3 linked regions of the Oryctolagus cuniculus genome follow. The protein of the gene in region 1 binds, or shares a complex with, the protein of each later gene. Links are inferred from orthologs where the notes say so. Each region holds a gene or a part of one and is shown on either strand. Other genes may lie near its edges.

Region 1 (6,573 bases):
TGGGGGTGGGGGGCAGCAGGAACACAGTTCTCATCACACCTGCTGCCTGGCAGACCTGCGGGGAGGCTTGAGGGAGAGCCCCGGGAAGAATGCCCAGCACACAGTAGGCCCTCAGCGGCACATAGTAGGTGTTCAACATATGATCTGGGGTGGGGGAGTTGGAAGGAGTCTTGAAATGGGTGCCTTGTCAGGACAGGAAGGCTGGGGGCTGGGCTGGGCTGGGCTGGGCTGGGGCCACTCAGGAGCAGAGGGAGGGCCAGGGGGCGAGGCTGTCCTGCCTGTTTCACCCTGCCTCTCCCCCGACCTCCCTGCACAGACTGAGTTTCGGGAGTGTGACTACAACAAATTCATGAGCGTCTTGGACACCAACAAGGACTGCGAGGTGGACTTCGCGGAGTACGTGCGCTCTCTGGCCTGCCTCTGTCTCTACTGCCACGAGTACTTCAAGGACTGCCCTCCCCCAGAGCCCCCCTGCTCCCAGTAGCCTGTGCTGTAGTTGGGGGGGCGCCCCGGCAGGGCAGGATCCGCCCCAGGCTGTGCCATCTCTGCCCCCGGGTGGTCCTGGCTGTGCCTCCCACACCCCCTTCCCTTGGCCCTGTGTCCCCTGCAATGTGGAATCGTGCAGATCAGCCCTGCTGGAGGACCAGGGTGCCCAGCCAGTGAGGCAGCTCCCGCTCCCTGTCTGTGCAGTGGACGGAGGAGGCGGGGATGTGCCGTGGGCCCTGGAGGCCCGGCACGGTGCGTGCCAGCAAGACCAGGACGGGATGGGCCTTTCCGCTCCTAATAAAGAACAGGTGTCCATGTGGCGTGGTTTGGTTCTTCTGAGAGGCACGGGGCCTTGAGACACAGCCCTGTTGACAGCTTTGCTCTCCTCTGGTCTTTTCCACTGGGGAGCAAGGCTGAGGGCAGCAGCCAGAGCTCCCATGGGCCCTGGGAGCAGTTTCAGAGCCTGCAGAGATGCAATGGTTACAGTCAGCACAGGAACTCCCGTTCTGTCCGTCTGTCTCTCAGTCTTTGGAGGGGGGTGCTGTCAAGGAGGGCAAGGGGGCAGCCCGAGGTCCCAGGGGTGAGGGAGCTGCAGCTCGGGCCTCGTGACCGGATGCGCTGAGGAGGAGGGTGGGGTGGGGCGCTTGTTCCCTGCCCCGGGCTGTGGCAGCCCAGAGAGCAGCACTAATGGGATTAGGGTGTCTCAGGGGTTTGCTGCCAGCTGGGGTGGGGTCCTGTACTGGAGGCAGAAGGGGAGGGGGATAGCTTGAAGCGAGCCCCATCCCTGAAGCCACAACCCGCTGAGGCCCTTAAGCCCCCTCTGCTGCCCCTCACTCACCCCTGGACCCCCTGTGCCCCACCCTGAGGGGTCATCCCTGAACCTGACTCCCCCGTGTTGTGCCATGTCACCTCTATCTCTGCACCCCAAACTGCAATATTCATCCCTGACGCCCCCCTCAACCCCACACACCCCCTCCTGCCTACTCTGTGAGTCACAAGCCATACTGAGCCCCACACTGCACTCCCACCCCCACTCCACCAGGACCTCGCCCCTTGATGTACCTGGGCCATCTCACACCTGCCACCAGCCACCTGCCACCCCTGCCTCTCCTTTTCTCATGGCCGCTGGGACTACTTCCTCTGCAGCCCCCAGCCCCAGGCACTGCCCTCCCTCCCCGGCTCCCTGAAACTCTTGCTGGGCTGTGTGCACTGGGTGGTGCCTGCTCCATCAGCTCCCTGCTGGTGCCCACTGGGGCTGGCCCACTGCCCATGGGGGCCTGGCCGGGTCAGGATGCCCGGCAGCCGGCTGAGGCCATGGAGGGGCTGCCCGACTCACCACATCAGCCCACAGCAGGAGGGCAGTGTGCGCTCCCCCATCCCCTTGCCAGGGGCAGGGCCTGGCTGGGGTATAAATAGTCAGACCGCTGGGCTCTCCCCGCTCTTCCTCTCTCCCCAGCCCTCCTCCTCTGTGCTTCCTCTCTCGGCTTGGTGAGTTCTGTGGGCCTGACTGGCACGCGAGGGTGTCACGGGCTGAGGCTGGGTGGGGGAAGGACAGCCTGGTGGGGGCCAGATGTGCTGAATGGACCCAGATGCACAGGCTCTGGGGTGCATGGAAGAGAGAAAAGGCAAGAAGAAAAGTGTGCAGCAGCTGGGTTTGAGCGCCCCCTCCCCGCCCCAGCCCTTCTGAGAAACTGGGGCTTGTGCAGTGTGTGCCTGAGCTGGAGATGTGCACCCTGCTGCGGGGTTGCTGGGCTGCACAAGTGTGCACCCTCGGGTGCAGGAAGAAAGCAAAGGCAACCGAGGGCTTCCTCTGCTCCCGCTCTGTGAGCCCCTGCTCTGCACCCGGCAGCTCAGCCCGGCAGAGCCCTGGCCTCCCACCCAGCCCTGGCACCCCTGCCTCCGCCACCTCACCGGCCCCTCCCAATGACGGGCTGGGTGCCAGGCTGCCGGTTTTTTCCGCTGCAGGCCCCCATGCAGGCCTCTAGCTGCCGCGCCCAGCGCTGGGAGGGAGAAGAATGGGCTGGGGCGGCCGTTGTGGCTGAGCTGTGGGAGTGGACGGGTGAGGGAGGGGTGGAAGAACGCTGTTGTTGGGATGAGGCCTGCAGCCACCTCCGGAGCTTGCTGCCTGGCTCCCTGGAGCCCATGCCACGAACCCCACAAAAGTCCACGGTCCCAAGTATGCATTCCCCCCCCCCGCACCCCTCCCCACCAATAGCTGTGCCCGCCTCTCTGGGTGTCCCCGAGGGCCAGAGAAGTGTCATCAAGGGCCTCTTGAGGGATGGGAGTGCAGGCGGGCATTCGGAACACATGGCTGGGGAGCAGGGGAGGATAAGGGTGCCCGTGCCTCCCGCCCTCAGATCCTGACCGCTGCCATGGCGTGCCCCCTGGAGAAAGCCCTGGACGTGATGGTGGCCACCTTCCACAAGTACTCGGGGAAAGAGGGTGACAAGTTCAAGCTCAACAAGTCGGAGCTAAAGGAGCTGCTGACCCGGGAGCTGCCCAGCTTCTTGGGGGTGAGTGGGTCCCCTGGGAGCAAGCACCCTCCCCCATCCCCAGCCCCCAACCCCCTGCAGGGGAGGCGCAGGCTCTATGAGGCTGCAGGCTTTTTGTGGAATATCAGCTAAAGCTGGTGTTTCTGACTGTGTGGGGAAACTGGGGAGCAGGGAGCCTGCATGGGGTGCAAACACGGCCCCAGCAGAAAGAAGGCTGAGAGAGAACAGGGAGGTTAGGGGCCAGACCCTCTGTCAGGTGCTCTGTACATCTTAAGTGAAAGGGAAAAAAACAAAAACAAAAAACTCAGAGTTAAGTATTTCCCAAGGTAGTGCATGTACAAAACTGGTCTGGACTAAGACCGCCGACTGCCCATTCTTCACTCCAACAGTGAAGGGCTGGAGTTTCCATTTGGCTCATAGATGTGCAGACACAGGTATAGAGACTCAACACACCTAAGATGTCCCCCCCAACAACAGCGTCTACACCTGCATCAAGCAGTCCACCATTTACAAGAGGGTATTGCAAAAAGTTCATGGGAAGTGGCATGAAAAAGCAAGTTTATTTTGGTGCAAAATTTTGAAATCTATAGTTTTAAAAATAATACTCATTTTCATGAACCCTTTGGAGAGTCTTGGGAAGCATGGGTTTCAAACATTTTTGTACCAAAAGGAACTTATTTTTAAATTATATTTCCGGGGCTGGGCATGGTGGTACAGTAGGTTAAACTTCCGCCTGCAATGCTGGCATTCCATATGGGCCCCAGTTCAAGTCCCTGGTGCTTTGCTTCCAACCCAGCTCCCTGTTAATGTGCCGGGAAAGTGGCAGAAGTTGGCCCAGGTACTTGGTCCCTTGTCACCCACATGAAAGACCCAGATGGAGTTCCAGGCTCCTGACTGTGGCCTGTCCCAGCCTTGGCAGTTGAAGCCATCTGGGGAGTAAGCCGGCACATGGAAGAGCTCTCTCTGTCTCTCCCTCTATAACTATGCCTTTCAAATAAAAAAAAAAATTCTGTTTCCACAAACTTTCTGCAGTAGCTGGCATATGCTGTCATGATCATTACCTCACTGGATCATGAGGACAACCTCTAGGGAAGGCGTGTGGTCACTTCGTTTTGCACCTGCACCAGGTCCTCAGACGTCCCCATCCAAGGAGTACTCCCGTTGGCGCTGGTGTGGCCCTGAGGGTTGGGGTCCGAGGCTGGGCCCCCCACAGGAGAGCTGCAGGTGCCAAACTGGTCTAGCCCTGCTCTACCCCCGTGGCTTCTGCTTTCTCCCTCCAGAAAAGGACGGACGAAGCCGCGTTCCAGAAGCTGATGAGCAACTTGGACAGCAACAAGGACAACGAGGTGGACTTCCAGGAGTACTGCGTCTTCCTGTCCTGCATCGCCATGATGTGCAATGAGTTCTTCGAAGGTTTCCCTGATAAGCAGCCCCGGAAGAAGTGAAGGCTCCTCAGATGCCGCTGGGGGGCCCGCCCGCTGGGGTCTTCCCTGTCTGCAGTGGGCACAGCACCTTAGTCCCGCCCCTTGAGACATGTGCACCACGCTGAGCAACTTTAATAAAGAGTCTTAACACCTGTGAGGCTCTCAGTCTGTGACTCTGGGGGCGTGTGGGGTTGGGGGCTGAGGGATGTGTGTGTGGTGGTGGGGGGGGGTAGGGCTGGGGGTGCTGGGACTTGAGCTGCTGGGTTGCAGATCCCAGGAGTGAAGGCTGGGAGGGAGCAGGAGTGACTGAGGGTGTGTGTGTGTGTGTGTGCAGGCATGCGTGTGACCCAGAGGACAGGGGTGGGGCCCAGGCAGGGAAGGAGACCACCAGGGCTTGGAGGGCGGGGCTGTGGCACTGAGCCAGCCCACTCACCCTTTCCAGCTCCCACCAACCATGCCTCTGGCCAATCCCTGAACTGAGGTTACTACGATGGGAAGGTCACATCTGTTTCTAGTTGGGGTCTGGAGAGAAGAGAACGGAGCTGAGTCAGGCGGAGGGAGTAGCCAAGCCAGAGCAGCAGGGGGAGGGGGCTAGCGCTCAGCCCCAACATTTGCAGCCTACGCCTGTCCTGCCTCCCCTTCTAGCTCATTGGCTTCACACCACAGGGGCGGGTTCATCCTGGCCTGTCCCGGGTCGGCCCGGATCAGCGGGGGCAGGATGCAGGGGCAGCGCGCAGCCTCCAGCGCCCGGGTTGTCGCTGGGGCTCTCCGACCCGCGATCCCTGCCCCCAGGCCCCTGGAGCGGGAAACGAGGAGTGGGGGTGGGGCTGGGGCAAAGACAAAAGGCCGGACTTGAGAAGAGGGGACCCAATGCTGCCTCGGCTTAGAGTCTGGGGCTGACTGAGGCTGTACCTGAAGCGAGTGGGTGTCAGGCCCCGAGGCCCGGGGGTTTGGTCCCCCTTTCCTCTCATCCCACTGAGCTTTCCCCTCAAGTTTCAGGGGAGGGGGCGGTGACTCATATGTTTCCCCCACCCCAGTGGGACTGCAGCGACCTGGGTAGGACCTTGGCTCTCCTCCTCCCAGCCTGGCCACCGCCCGCCTCCGCGCGGTCCTCCCGGGGCAGCCTCCCTCGCGGCTCTCTCTTCGGAAACTCCTGCTGCCTAGCGACCGACCTCGCCAGCGGGAGCGCCGGGGCTTCAGCCATAGTGGGCACTCACCCTCAGAGCAACACCTGAGTGTCCCCCAGGATACGACCCCACCCCATCCATGACTGCGCCCTGAACCCAAGCCCCAGCTCCATCCCATCCTGGGGTCCCCGCGTGTCTACCTCCCCTCCTTAGTTCCTAGTTCTCAGCCGTCAGTGTCAAGACTCCAGCAAGTCCCCATGAGACAACCATTTATTTAAAGCTTTGTAAAAACCACACTGGCTGATGGATGACCTTGCCCTTGACAAGGAAATATCTTCCTCCGGGGATCCCCGCCTCCAGGTGGTCTTCTCTGCTCTTGAGGTGGGTGGGAAGGTCTCCAAGAGGAGAGTGGCCGGGGGACATGGGGCACATCCGGTGTGTGGCTCTAGGCTTCCTGTGGTTCAGTCAGACTGTGAATTCTGCTTTTTGGTTGAGAGTGGAGTGTGAGCAGGTGAACTCAGTGTGCCCCACACCCCTGTTTGTAAACAAGGAAAGGGAAATTGGCAGAGGGGTTTCTCCTGGCCCATCCCTGGAGATTCTGACCAGGGCCTCCAGATGTCCCTGACCCCTTCTCATTGGCCCTTTCTATCCCCTGGGCTCCTGGGGGCTGGGAACAAGGAATAAAGCGAGAGCAGGGAGTGGGAGGCTGCATCTGCTTTGAGCGGAGTTTCTGGGCTGGTGCTCTCCTGGGTGGGCCCTTCCTTCTCTCCCTGCCCAGCTCTGCTGGCCGCGCCGAGTGACTAGCCGGTGGGTGACAAGCCGTGGTGACCTCTGCAAGGAAGGCCTGGCCCCTGGGGTGCTCAGGGAGGACAGGGAAGTCTCTGGAACGGCATCTCCTGGGAAAATGGCTCCAAGGTGGAGCTGGGGTCGGACCCAGCCAGGATGCTCCTGCAGGCTCCTCGAGGCCCTCACCCTTCCACGGTGGTCCTGGCTGGGTCTCCTCGAGGTGGGAGAAGCTGAGGTTTCTGGGTGATGGGAGATGAA
Region 2 (6,584 bases), on another chromosome or scaffold:
AGAGCCAGTTGCCGTTACTATCTTGGTACAGAGTGAGGAGGACCAGGAGGAATGAGACAGGCTCAGCCTATTCTCCATCATTCTAGCAACTCCAGCCAACACACCAGACAAATAAGTAAAGCCACCAGCCATCTTCCAACTCCAACTGAACTACTCAACCCCACCCAACATCACGTAGAGCCGAGCTCAGCTGTTTCCACTGAGTCGTGCCCGAGTTGCAGAATGATAAGCAAATAAATGGTTGTGCATGTTTTGGGAAGTAATTTGTTACATTGCAATATGGAACAGATACAGGGACCTTGGATGCACCGTTGAATCCCTGGATTCGGTCGGAGACAACGTGGGTTTTCATTTCCTCATAAGTCAACATGAAGGATAGGAGAAGTTCATCTCTAAGGCCCCTCCTTGCTCTATATTATTCTGTGCGTAACTCTGCTGTATCACTTGTGGGAGCCTAGCATTGCTAGCTAGGCATTCTCAGAGGTGTTGAGGTGCAGCAGACAAAGTGTGAACAGAACAATGGCAGGCATTGAGAGGACAATGCGCACAACAGCTGACATAATCTGAGCTCTGTTATAGCAAACATCCCCCCAAGCCATGCTGGGGAGCAGAAAGGAAGAAGAGAATCTTTGGGTTAAGAATCAAAAGTTCTTTTACTGGCAGAACTGGCCTCACATTCCTCCGAAATAAGCAACCATGACTTAACAGCTTTGTTTTCTAAGATACCATCACGGCGAATTTCTGTCAAGCACCAAGCAAAGCCTTGCTATTGTACTGATCTGTACTGCACCTGGTTCGCATTAGCTCTTCCCCCTCTGCAGATGCCCACAGCGGCAAGGCAGCACAGTGAGGAGCTGGCATGGAACCTGCCGGAGGAGAGGAGGGAGGGAGGCCACCTCCTGCCCGCCATTATCACTGCCTGCCTGTGTTCCTCCAGTTCTCACCCAGGAAACCAACCCATGTGGTTTCTGCCTTTACAGCTCGCATTCTGAATTGAAAGGCTGTGAATGCACATTAGAAATTGTATTAGAAGGGTTGCTTTCGGGGCAGGCATTGGGACTCAGCAGGTTAAGCCTCCATTTGGGACACCTGTAGCCCATAGTGGAGCATGTGGGTTTAACTCCTTCCAATCCAGCTTCTTCATAATGCACCTGGAGGCAGCAGAGAATGGCTCATGTACTTGGGTTCCTGGCACCCATGGGGGAGACCCGGATGGAGTTCCTGACTCCTAGCTTCTGCCTCGCCCAGCCTTCTGACAGTGCCTGTCATGCCTAATTAATTCCTAGAGAAAAGAGCCCAGGCTGGGTGCTAGGAAACCTTCCTAGGCTGGATTTTGCAGCTACCCATTTGTGTGACCCTGAGCACAGCACTCAGTGTCTGGTTGCCTTGGCTGTCGCTCCGACTCCCAGGAGCAGCCAGACTGGGCAAAAACACTGCCTAGGCTGAGTGTGCAAGGAGGGAGGGAGTTCAAAGTCTGTGGGGTTTTTAGCCAAGCTCTCAGTCTGAGAGCTGCATGCATCGCTGGCTCAGTCACACGTGCTCGGCCACAAGTTGCAAGTGGCACTCGTGGAAGTAGTGCCGGGGAAGAAAAGCGAGAAACAGCAAAACCGAGCGAGGGAGTTGGCTCAATGGCTTCGGGGCAAGTGAAAGCAACTGGCGGTCACAAAAGGAAGAACGGATCAAAGTTCTCCGTTGCAACTCGGGGTTCAAAGCCAGGCGCCCCACCCAGCTCGGGCCTGCCTGTCACAAGGCTGCGCAGAGTGGTGGGTCCCAGAGGCTGACGCACGCAGAGCTCAGCAGTCCCCGGGGAAGAGGGCGCCTCCCGGTGCAGAGGTGGGGTGAGGGATCCCTGCTCGGGGCACTCTCCGAGGCCGGGGCGCATGGCCTGCGCGTTCTCCTTCCGGGAACAGGCGTCCAGAGGTTAAGCTAATATGTTTGCAGATGGTAATGGGTTGCTGGATGCCAAACGTCCCAGAGCAGGAGAATCCAGATTTATGTTTCTTGGATCAATTCTTTCTTCCAGGGCTTTGGCGCCTAAAGAAAAAAAAAAAGAAAAGAAAAGAAAAAGAAAGAAAAAAGAAAATAAAGTGATTTCTCCTAAAGTGTGGCCCATTTAGGAACCGAAGCCCAGGCTAGGAACTCGACGTGGCACTCCAGTCCGGAAGGGAGGAAAAGAGACGGCCTAACCCGGACCTCGGGGAAGTCTCGGCGGGGCTTCCACCCTGGGCAGGGCCGTGGGCGTCGGGCCGCTCCCGCGCGGCGAGGCTCGCAGCCGTTCCAGGGCGTGGCTACCCGCTCGGGCCAGCGGCCCGGCGAGCGTGAGTCACCCCGAGTCGGGGTGGGGGCGGGCAGGGCGGGCCTGGCCGAGAGGATGTGGCGGGTATAAAAGCCCCACCCAAGGCAGCCAGCTCCGCTCGGCAACTGGAGACGCTCGCAACTCTCGGCGCCCGGCCCAGGTAAGCGGGACGCGCCACACCCGCCGCCCGCCCGCTATGGCCCGGGGCCGCAGCACTAGCGGGGCCTGCGGAGGCTGGCAAGGGGGAAAGGGGCTTGCAGAGAGGGGCTCGAGCGGCCGGGCCGGGAGCCGGGGGAGACCGGGGCGCACTTGGGCTGCTGCGGGCGGGGGGCGCAAGGCCAGGTGTCCGGGGCGGGATGAGTGGGGCCGTTCGTGTCCAGGCCTGGGAGCGCGGAGCATGAGGACCGGACTGTGCATTCCCATGGAGGCTTCGCGGGTAGCGGGCGAGCCTGCTCACGCAGGGGAGCACTGGGGGCCCCGCATTCCAGACGTGCCGGGCCCGGGAGGGGGACAGGGCGTGGCCGCCGAGCGCTGCGGACTGCTAGGGGCCGTGCGCTCCGCGTGGAGCTGGAGTTCCACCGCTCTCCAGAATGCCGCCCATGTGTGCTTAAAGTCCCTTTACGCGATCTGGACGCGCGTTTGTGGAGCTTGAGCCGACCCCTGAGAGGGGAGGCTGGGGTGGGGGTGGGGTGGGAGTTTTGAGTAGCCAGCCGTGCACCCAATAAAACAAAACAGAAACCTCAGTTCTTTGCTCTTTCGTAGAGATTATCTTGGAGGATAGCAGTTTCAGATTGTGCTCAATCTGGGGGCTTTTCCGTTTGGTTGAGCACGTTTGCATGGGGAAGGAAGTGTCCCCGGAGTTCTTGTGGGGAGGGCTGGCCTGACTGTTACTTGCGGTGATGCGGCAGTGAGTCAGGGACCTGGAGTGCCCAGAAGGGCGTGGCCCAGCCGCTCCCTGCAGCTCGGAGCTGGCTGCTGGGCAGGGCCTGGGTTCCATGGACTGGCCCTGGAGAAACAGGAGTGGACCCTCAGGTTTCTTACCTATGCAAGTGGTTTAAGGACCCCCATTATACTCCCTCTGCCCGAAGGAGGACTATGTATTGAAGATTTCAAAAAACATGTTCATTCAAAATTAAATCTTTAAAGTGCACTGCAAATGCACGGCGCCAGACAAGGGTGAAGTATCATTTTTGTGGTGAGATTTGTCATTTTAAAGCTGTGGGTGATTGGAGTCTGGGGGTGAAACAGCAGTGGCCTGATGGGTACACGTTGGGCCTTTACCTGGGTCTGAGAAGCCTTCTGGCCACACCTTGGTGATTTGGAATGCAGAATGCATTTTCCCAGGGAAACGATGTTACTGAAAATGCTTAGGCTCCCAGGCTAGCCCGAAAGAACCCGCTTACCATGCTCTGTGTGCAGGCACTGCCTAATTGGGGGTGAGGGGCCGACAGGTGGGTAGGAAGAATAAATCACTGAATTTTTTCTGGAACTTTCTTTGAAGTTGGCCCTGATTAAATTCTTTTTCATGCTTCTGCCTCCTCTCTGCTTTCTTTTCAATGCCTCTCTTTTGCCTCCTTAGAGACCACCTTCCCTGATGTGAGACAGCAGCCCAGGGGCCTTGTCCAGGTCTGCTGTATTCCCTCTTCCTCCCTCCAGTGTGACGCCAACCCCAGCTAGAAGCCAGCAAATGCAATAAATGATCATTAGGTCGGAGGTCCTAAAACCCCCAGCAATCCAGAGAGCACTGTTAGTGAAGAAACAGCACTGAGAAACCCTCCTTAGCCCACACCCACCTGCACTTTGTAGAATTTGAGGTAATGGAATCCAGGAGAAGTAATGTTCAGGCCAGGTGAAGGAAGATTTCAGATGAGACCAGGACTAGTGTATCCTGTAACAGCTTTCTACCAACTTCTAAATCTCTTGTCCAGAAGTTTCAGGGCTGGATGGCCCAGCACGTCTGCAGTGGAGGGGAGCAGGCCCTGACCGCCTGTGTGCAGTATTTCAATAGGAAGCTTATGGCTGTGTCGCCTGCCTTCCTCAAATGACCAGGAAATATTGCTGACTCACTGACCTTGATTAAGAGCTCAGTCTTGGACTGGAGTCTCCAGTATTTAACATCCCGGGTCTTGGAGCTATTAAAGGACTGTATCTATTGACATTGGACTGCAGTCATGGCCGTTAGTTTCCTGGCTAATGTCAGATTTAAGTAGCTTTTCTGGCAAAGTAGATACTCTTCTGTAATTGTTATCGATTTGGAGGCCTGGAGGCTTTTCCTGCACCTGTGAGCCTAGGACCTGGCACTAATGCATTGTGGTGAGTCTTGGTTGTCACTCTGTGTGGGGCTTGGGCCATTTATCATGGAGAAAGGATGGGCGTGCCATGGGCTGCCTCAGACATTCCTTCATTCCACAGACTATCAAGCACCTACTATGTTCCACCCACAGTTGTAGCCACTGGAGAAACAACAGTAAGCGAAACACACACACACACACATACACACACACACACATCCCTGCTCTGTAGACCTTAAATCTAGCTGTGAATTGTGTGACAGCCATCATATTTTAAGTTTCACGTTTCACCAATGTTAGTTTCCAAATTTGACCAGGGCTCATTTTCCCTTTGATACAAACTGAGCCACAGACCTAAGCATCATCCATAACCCACCTTGGCAAGTGTTGTTTAAGGCTGTGCTGACTTCCTGATTTGAATGTGAGAATTAAAGAGAAATTGGGTGTTCCTCTGTGTGTGCGTGTGGGAATCAGCTTCCTCCTTTCCCTGGTGCCACGCCCTATTGTAGTGCTAGGCCACACCAGAGGAAATTCTAGGCCACAAAACAAACAAACAAACAAACAAACAAAAACAACCAAAAAACCCACCCTCTTTCCACTCATTCACTGCCTGGTGAATTTTTCCATCTCCTGTTGCCAGAGTCCTGCTCTACTTTGTTGAGGGGCTAGGTTAGTAGTAGAGGTCAAGAGAGATGCCCAGGAGATGACATACAAGTCTAAGCCACCTGGGCTCAACAGTGTTGAAGCACAAACCAGTAGCGCCGTAGTGGTCTGAGTTCTAATCCCTGGCTTGGTGTGAACCCTCTGCCTGTGTCCTTTGTCTCCTTGCCACGCCCAGGCTACATGCTCAGAGGAAGTCCGTCCTGTCTGCTCACTGCTTCCGTGCTTGCTCCACGCCCGAAGGCCGTGTGGACAGGCCTCAGGCTCTAGTAGCCCAGACAGAGCAGAAGCGGGGGCTGGGGACCGGGCTACAGTAGATCGTGATGAGAAAGGGGCTGCCCCCACGGGGACCTGCCAGGCAGAGGCTCCTGTGCCTACTGCCTGGACCTGGAACTGCATTTGCAATGTTTGGTCTAGGAGAGAAAGAAAATGGAGGAAGGAGGGTGTGTTGGAAAGGCAGGGGAAGAAAGACCAGCTACAGTGGAAAGCCCGGATGTGTGTGCAATCTCCCAGGATGTGATTGCATGCTTGCTGTGTGCCACGCGGTGAGCTCACACCTGTGAGGAAACAGCAATAAGTCAGAAACCCTGGGGGCAGGTGGTGCCACCTCCACATACACAGCTCTGCTGAGAGCCTCAGGCCGAGGGGGGAGGGTAAGGTTCAGCTGATCAGGGGAGCTTGGAGCTTGGAGGGGCAGCATGTTGAGGGAAGCGTCGCTGGCCTCATCCGACAGTGGACCAAGATGTGTGTCTGTGTGCACAGAGGTAGGGAGCTCCAGAAAGTGCATGGACACATGGAATGAAAAGATAAGCTCATTTTGTTTGGTGCAAAACAATTTTGCAACCTACAGTACGCATATTCCAGGGACTTTTTGAAGACCCCCTCCTCCCCCCCCCCCCAATACAGAAGAAAAGGCCTGTAGGTGTAGAGTCTGCAAGATCTTGAATGCTGAGTTTAGGCCTTTTTTTTTTTTTTTTTTTTCTCCCTCTGTAGGCGCCTGGGCCCTGTGGAAAGCACATTATGTGGGCCATAAGACACAGAGCTTGAGTTGTAGATGGGAAGCTCTGGATTTCCCAACCCTGACCTTGCTCCAAGCCAAGTGATGTCATTTTTCCTGCCCAGCTCCTTCCACCCACTCCCACCCCATATCAGGAGACTGGCAGAGAGCAGCTGTGAGAGCCAGAAGCTGCAACGTGTCTGCAGCGAGCAGACAAATACCGATTCGGAGCAGGCAGCAAGGGGGCAAGCTGGAGCAAGTGTCCTTGGGTCTCTCGTGCTCCCTGCGGTCCAGGCCGCTGGGCAGAATTCCAGGAATGCTGGGGAATGACTTGGCCCTG
Region 3 (6,057 bases), on another chromosome or scaffold:
AAGCAGCTGGCGGCAGAGAACAGGCTCACGGAGATGGAGACGCTGCAGTCTCAGGTGGGTGCTGCCCCCTGCTGGCCACCGGGGGAGGCACGTTTGCTGCCCCAGGTGCCGGAGGAGCAGGGTGGTTAGTCTCTCCCGGGGTATGCGTTGGAGGCCGGCTGGTTCTTGGAGGTCTTGAGGACACGGTGTCTGGAAGGTGCCCGGGAGCCCCGGAGCCCCGGGAGGAGGGTGCAAGCGCGTGCTCTGCGCTCCGTGTGCCCGCTGCAGCTCATGGCAGAGAAGCTGCAGCTGCAGGAGCAGCTCCAGGCAGAGACGGAGCTGTGCGCCGAGGCCGAGGAGCTCCGCGCCCGCCTGACTGCCAAGAAGCAGGAGCTGGAGGAGATCTGCCACGACCTGGAGGCCCGGGTGGAGGAGGAGGAGGAGCGCTGCCAGCACCTGCAGGCCGAGAAGAAGAAGATGCAGCAGAACATCCAGGTAGCCGGGCCCCGCCGACTCGGGACGGGAGTCCCCGCCGGGCCCCGCCCACTCGGGACGGGAGTCCCCGCCGGGCCCCGCCGACTCGGGACGGGAGTCCCCGCCGGACCCCGCCCACTCGGGACGGGAGTCCCCGCCGGACCCTGACCCGGGACAGGAGTCCCCGCCGGGCCCCGCCCACTCGGGACGGGAGTCCCCGCCGGGCCCCGCCCACTCGGGACGGGAGTCCCTGCCGGGCCCTGACTCAACGTGGGGACAGGAGTCGGGCTTCTTGCCAGGCCCCACCGACTTAAGGCAGGAGTCCCCGCCAGGCCCTGACTCGGGACGGGAGTCGGGCTCCCCGCCAGGCCCCACCAACTCAGGACAGGAGTCCGGGTCTGCGTGCCCGCGCTGCCCATGGGCACAGCTGACGGGCCTCCCCCAGGGGCTGGCTGTTCCATCCGGGCCTCTCAGCTCTCCCTGCGCTCTGCCCTCCCCGGCATGGCAAAGGCCGTTCTGCCTCCCTGCAGCCCTTGCTCTGGGACCTGGGAGTGGAGGGCCGGCAGCCCTGTCCTCCACGCTCTGCCCAGTGGGAAGCTGGCTAAAGGGGACCCCCAGAGCAGTACTGCGGGCGTCTTGCCTGGCACCCCAGCTTCAGATGCGTGACCCCTCCTGCAGGGCTGGGCTGCATCCCGGCCAAGCTGCCGGGCTCGCAGAGCCACCGTTCCCACCCTCTCTCCGGCTCCCGGCAGGAACTGGAGGAGCAGCTGGAGGAGGAGGAGAGCGCCCGGCAGAAGCTGCAGCTGGAGAAGGTGACCACGGAGGCCAAGCTGAAGAAGCTGGAGGAGGAGCAGATCATCATGGAGGACCAGAACTGCAAGCTGGCCAAGGTGGGCCAGGCGCGCGTGGCTGCCCGGGCGGCCCCCTCCCGGAGCCACACGGGGGGTTCCCCCGAATGAGCGGCCCCAGGGAGCTTCGCCGTTGCCCCGCAGTCGAGCTCTTCGCTGGCTTTTGAGACGAGTCAGGCCCTCCGTGTGGCACTGTGCATCTGTCCCCTGCGGAGCCGGGGCGCCTTGGTGGCTTCGTGCGGCAGGTCCCGTGCTCCTGCAGCCAGGCCTCGCCTGTGCCTGCTCCTGCGCTCCTGGGCCGGCTGCGCTCTGAGGAGGGCTGCGGCGTCCTGTGCGCTCCCGCTCAGCCTGGCCCGCCCCCGCCCCTCAGGAGAAGAAGCTGCTGGAAGACAGGATAGCCGAGTTCACCACCAACCTCATGGAGGAGGAGGAGAAGTCCAAGAGCCTGGCCAAGCTCAAGAACAAGCACGAGGCGATGATCACAGACCTGGAAGGTGAGGGCGTGGCCTGGGCCGCCTGCCGGGGGCCCTGGCTCCCGTGACCCAGCGCTCGGCTGCTGCCGTGAGGCGCGAGATGGCCAGGGCACGCGGCAGCACCTGGTTGCTCTGGCTGGTTCCCAGGAATCGTGGTTCAGAGCAGACCCTTGTGTCGCCCGCTGTGCCGCACTCGAGCTGCTGGGGAGACCGCAGGAGATGGTGGTTGGATGTGGGCCAGGCTCGCCGGCCCTGCCTCGTTTCCTGTGTTCTGGGGACTGTGGCGGTCAGGAGGCCTCGGTAGAAGGCCTATGGCTGGCTGAGACCCCCAGCCCCTTGAGAGGCGTGGACAGCTCGGGGAGGGAGAGAGCCTGACACAGCTGGAGGAGCCCCGCGCCCGGCTGGTGAACGTGGGGTGGATATGGGCTGCCGGCCGGCGGCGTCCTCCCCAGCCTAGTGTCCCAGCCCTGCCAACCCCTCGTGTGTGTGTGTGTGTGACGGGGAGGAGTCTGCAGGACTTGGCCTTCCAAGGCGTCCCGGAGGGCAGGACCACCAGGTTGACAGACGTTTGACACCAGCAAGTGTTAAGGAAGCTGTAGATGAGTCAGAAACACACCCCCCCCCCCCACCTGCTGCGTGCCCCTGACCCAGCAGTGCCATCCGGCGCTCGGCCTTGTGCACTGAGAGTCACACACCTGTCCCCGTGGGCTGGAGAAGGAAGCTATGGTGTGCCCGCAGGGCAGAGCAGACAGGCCCGGCAGGCACCGGACCGCACGTGGCAGCGCTCTTGTCCCGCATCCAGGGGTCAGGTGTGACTGGCTGTGTGTCGCGAAGGCCTCTGGCCCTGGCTGTGTAAGTCGTTGAACACAGAAGAGCTGCAGCCGCTGAGGTCCCCCCACCCCCACCCCCAGAGCGCCTCCGCAGGGAGGAGAAGCAGCGGCAGGAGCTGGAGAAGACGCGCCGGAAGCTGGAGGGAGACTCCACCGACCTCAGCGACCAGATCGCCGAGCTGCAGGCGCAGATCGCCGAGCTCAAGATGCAGCTGGCCAAGAAGGAGGAGGAGCTGCAGGCCGCGCTGGCCAGGTGAGGCCCGGGCTCCCACGTGGCCGCCGGCCAGAGCACGCCCTGCCCAGGCTCGCCGCGCCAGCGAGCGCGAGCGTCCCCTCCGCTGCGGCTGCAGAAGTTCTCAGGCACCAGCGGCACAGGCTGGGGTGCTGGGGTGCTGGGGTGCTGGGCGGCTTTCTCCTTGGTAATCCAGAACCACCCACAGCTCTGTCTCCCGCCCACAATACTTTCTTTTTAAAAAAATTCTTGGCTATAGGCACACATTTGTTTAAAAAAGCAGACTTGATTTTTCTAGTTTTAGATTCATTGCAAGATTGAGCAGAACATACAGACTTCCCATCTAAACCCTGCCCGCCTCCCCCACGCACGGCCTCTGCCGATGTCAACACTCGGTGAACCTTCAGTGAGACAAAACCATGCAAAGCCCACAGCTCATTGCCTGCCACTTAGTTGCCGTCTGATGGACTGTAGCTTTTTAGAGTATTTCCTTTTTCGTGTAACATTTTAAAGTTAATTTTTTTGAAAATTTATTTACTTGAAAGCCAGCGTTAAACAGAGAAAGAGAGAGAGAGAGAGACAGGCAGACATAGAAGGAGAGGCAGAGAGAAAGGTCTTCCATCTGCTGGTTCACTCCCTAATGGCCACAACGGCCGAGGTGGGCCAGGCAGAGCCAAGCACCAGGAGCTGCTTCCTGGTCTCCCACACGGGTACACAGGCCCAGGCACCTGGGTCATCTTCCTCTGCTCCCTCGGGAACATTAGCAGGGAGTAATGGGTCAGGATTGGAGCAGCCAGGACTCTAACCAGCACCCCTGTGGGGTACTGGTGCTGCAGGCCATGGCTTTAGCCTGCTGCACCACAGGACAGTGCTGGCCCCATTGTGTGTGTGTGTGTGTGTGTGTGTGTGTGTGTCATTTGGAAGGTGAAGGGGTTTCTCTGAGGTGTTCCGGGTCTGGGATACCTCATGTTTCTGCTGAGAGCCACTGAACTGCCATGATGTACCTGCATAGACAGCGCTGGCTGCCCCGCTGCCCCTCTAAGGCCTCTCCTGCGGGCGGAGCCCTGCAGGGGACACGGCCTCAGGCTGACAGCGTCTCTCTGGCAGAGTGGAAGAAGAGGCTGCCCAGAAGAACATGGCCCTCAAGAAGATCCGGGAGCTGGAATCTCAGATCTCCGAGCTCCAGGAGGACCTGGAGTCCGAGCGCGCCTCCAGGAACAAGGCCGAGAAGCAGAAGCGGGACCTCGGGGAGGAGCTGGAGGCGCTGAAGACAGAGTTGGAGGACACCCTGGACTCCACTGCTGCGCAGCAGGAGCTCAGGTGTGGCCTGGGGCCGCCTGGCCTGGCCACGAGGGCGGGGGGCCCGGAGCAGTGCTGCACACGGCTCACCACGTCCAGAGAGCGCGGAGCCGGGCCTTCCTCGGCCGTTGCCCTCTGCCTAGCAGATCTGCGGGGAGCGTGGCTTTGGAGGGCGCAGCGAGGGTGGGCTCTGAGCCTGTACAAGGGCCTGTAGTAGCCGAGCAGGGGGCCGGTGGGGAGAGAAGCTGCAGACGGGGGCTGTGCCGGGAAGGGCTGCCGGGTCTCGGCCTCCGCTCTGAGGGGTTTTCCCCGTCCAGGTCCAAACGCGAGCAGGAAGTGAACATTCTGAAGAAGACCCTCGAGGACGAGGCGCGGACCCACGAGGCCCAGATCCAGGAGATGCGGCAGAAGCACTCGCAGGCCGTGGAGGAGCTGGCGGAGCAGCTGGAGCAGACCAAGCGGGTGCGGGGCCTCCCCAGCCCCTGCGGGCGCAGCCGGGCTGCTTTCAGGGGAGGGGCCTCCTGGTGACCCTGCACTCTGCGCTCTGCCGTGCCGCGGCCAGTCCCGCAGAGCAGTGCCGGCATCAGACTGCTCAGCCCCAGACAGCGCCTGTGTTCCTTGGGGCAAAAGTACCCCGTGCCTCAGTTTCCCTGTCTGTGCAGGGGGACGATGGGTTTGTCTCATGATTACAGGACTTAGAGTCGTTAATCTGTGTGAAGCACTTGGGCAATGAGGGCATAAGGTGTCCGTATGTTGGGGTTGTCATTAACAACCCGTCAGAGCAGGTAGCGTGGAGGAACCGGTGGGTGTCAGAGGGCTTTGGTGGTCCGGCTTCCACCTGCAGAGTCCCCTCTGGAACACCCCCAGCAAGTAGTCAGCTGGGGTCTCCCTGGAAAACCCCAGGGCCGTGTACCCAGCTGGTCCCCAAGTCCTGCCTCCTGTGCCTTGCAGAGCTCCATGTCTGGTGGTGGCAGCTGGGGAAGTTCAAGGCTCTTCCACGTGGGGCCTAAATATATTCTGTCTCCCTTCAACTCCTGCCCAGGGCCCAGTTTACCCTTGACCTCGGCTGATCTTCCCACAGCCCCGTGGTCTACTTGGTGCAGAGTAGAGTGCGATTATTGTATTTGCTTTGTGAACTCTACTTTGTTTCTAGATATTGAAATTTTTATTTCTTCACTTGGGAGGGAGAGAGCACTCCAGCTGTTGGTTCAGTCCCCAAACATGTACACTGGCCCCGGCTGGGGATGAAGCTGGGTAGCGGGAGCACCATCCAGGTCCCCGCGTGGGTGGCAGGGATCAACTCTGGGGCCGTCACTGCTGCCTTTCGGGGCTTGCAGGAAGCCAGAGCTGGGAGCTGAACCCAGGGACTGCTGGGGAGGACGTGGGTGCCTTACCCTGTAGGCCAAATGTCTGCCCCACTTCTGTGACTTAGAGAATGCCATGTTACTGTTTGAACAGCAGGTTTCTGAGGGGCTCTGTTGGAAGTCAGGTGCCCTCGCTGTGTTGCAAATACTGCTAGGGTCGTGACAGCCACAGTAACACCCAGTCTAGCACCTTCCCTCTCCCCAGCCAGCAGGGCTTGGGGGGGAGTATTGTGAAGGTAGGGATGCTGGGCGGAGCGAGGATACACAGCCCTTATCACCGCCAGTGGAGAGCAGAGGACAGGTGGGGCCGGCTGGAGCCCACGGAGTCCAGGGCTGGACCCAGCGTGGGTGGCTCTTCCAGTGGCGTCAGACAAACCAGCCACGCAGCGTCCCTGTTAACATCCTCGCCCCCCGCCCCTCCTCGCCCAGGTGAAAGCCAACCTGGAGAAGGCCAAGCAGACCCTGGAGCACGAGCGAGGGGAGCTGGCCAACGAGGTCAAGGCCCTGCAGCAGGGCAAGGGGGACTCCGAGCACAAGCGCAAGAAGGCGGAGGCCCAG

Evidence for each region.
Region 2: the proteins of protein S100-A4 (region 1) and ANXA2 are in contact, whole or in part, in a crystal structure (PDB 5LPU), measured with the Homo sapiens proteins. The link is inferred for Oryctolagus cuniculus from reciprocal best matches to the Homo sapiens genes S100A4 and ANXA2. Residues at the interface, in NP_002952.1 of Homo sapiens: Lys35, Leu38, Pro43, Ser44, Phe45, Leu46, Gly47, Lys48, Arg49, Thr50, Asp51, Ala54, Phe55, Lys57, Leu58, Asn61, Leu62, Gln73, Phe78, Cys81, Ile82, Met84, Met85, Glu88, Phe89, Phe93; in NP_001002857.1 of Homo sapiens: Leu13, Glu14, Pro21, Ser22, Ala23, Tyr24, Ser26, Val27, Lys28, Tyr30, Thr31, Asn32, Phe33, Glu36, Arg37, Leu40, Thr44, Gln69, Asp70, Phe73, Arg77, Arg78.
Region 3: the proteins of protein S100-A4 (region 1) and MYH9 are in contact, whole or in part, in an NMR structure (PDB 2LNK), measured with the Homo sapiens proteins. The link is inferred for Oryctolagus cuniculus from reciprocal best matches to the Homo sapiens genes S100A4 and MYH9. Residues at the interface, in NP_002952.1 of Homo sapiens: Leu38, Ser44, Phe45, Leu46, Gly47, Lys48, Arg49, Thr50, Asp51, Ala54, Phe55, Lys57, Leu58, Asn61, Leu62, Ser64, Gln73, Glu74, Cys76, Val77, Phe78, Ser80, Cys81, Ile82, Met84, Met85, Cys86, Glu88, Phe89, Phe90; in NP_002464.1 of Homo sapiens: Thr1906, Ala1909, Met1910, Glu1913, Val1914, Ser1915, Leu1917, Lys1918, Lys1920, Leu1921, Arg1922, Asp1925, Leu1926, Pro1927, Phe1928, Val1929, Val1930, Pro1931, Arg1932, Met1934, Ala1935.

What each region holds. Positions count from the first base shown.
Region 1 is NC_091438.1:44,754,032-44,760,604, forward strand, and holds protein S100-A4, read left to right. Parts: upstream 1-2,451; 5' UTR 2,452-2,578; coding exon 2,579-2,662; intron 2,663-2,843; coding exon 2,844-2,999; intron 3,000-4,258; coding exon 4,259-4,423; 3' UTR 4,424-4,554; downstream 4,555-6,573. Other genes in the region: S100A3 (protein S100-A3), read left to right, coding at 317-484. UniProt on the Homo sapiens protein: Calcium-binding protein that plays a role in various cellular processes including motility, angiogenesis, cell differentiation, apoptosis, and autophagy.
Region 2 is NC_091443.1:83,306,244-83,312,827, reverse strand, and holds the start of ANXA2 (annexin A2), read left to right. Parts: upstream 1-2,163; 5' UTR 2,164-2,456; intron 2,457-4,089; exon of another isoform or gene 4,090-4,361; intron 4,362-6,584. UniProt on the Homo sapiens protein: Calcium-regulated membrane-binding protein whose affinity for calcium is greatly enhanced by anionic phospholipids. It binds two calcium ions with high affinity. May be involved in heat-stress response.
Region 3 is NC_091442.1:113,573,432-113,579,488, reverse strand, and holds part of MYH9 (myosin-9), read left to right. Parts: coding exon 1-54; intron 55-267; coding exon 268-474; intron 475-1,205; coding exon 1,206-1,343; intron 1,344-1,671; coding exon 1,672-1,795; intron 1,796-2,685; coding exon 2,686-2,857; intron 2,858-3,943; coding exon 3,944-4,156; intron 4,157-4,452; coding exon 4,453-4,597; intron 4,598-5,928; coding exon 5,929-6,057. UniProt on the Homo sapiens protein: Cellular myosin that appears to play a role in cytokinesis, cell shape, and specialized functions such as secretion and capping. Required for cortical actin clearance prior to oocyte exocytosis. Promotes cell motility in conjunction with S100A4.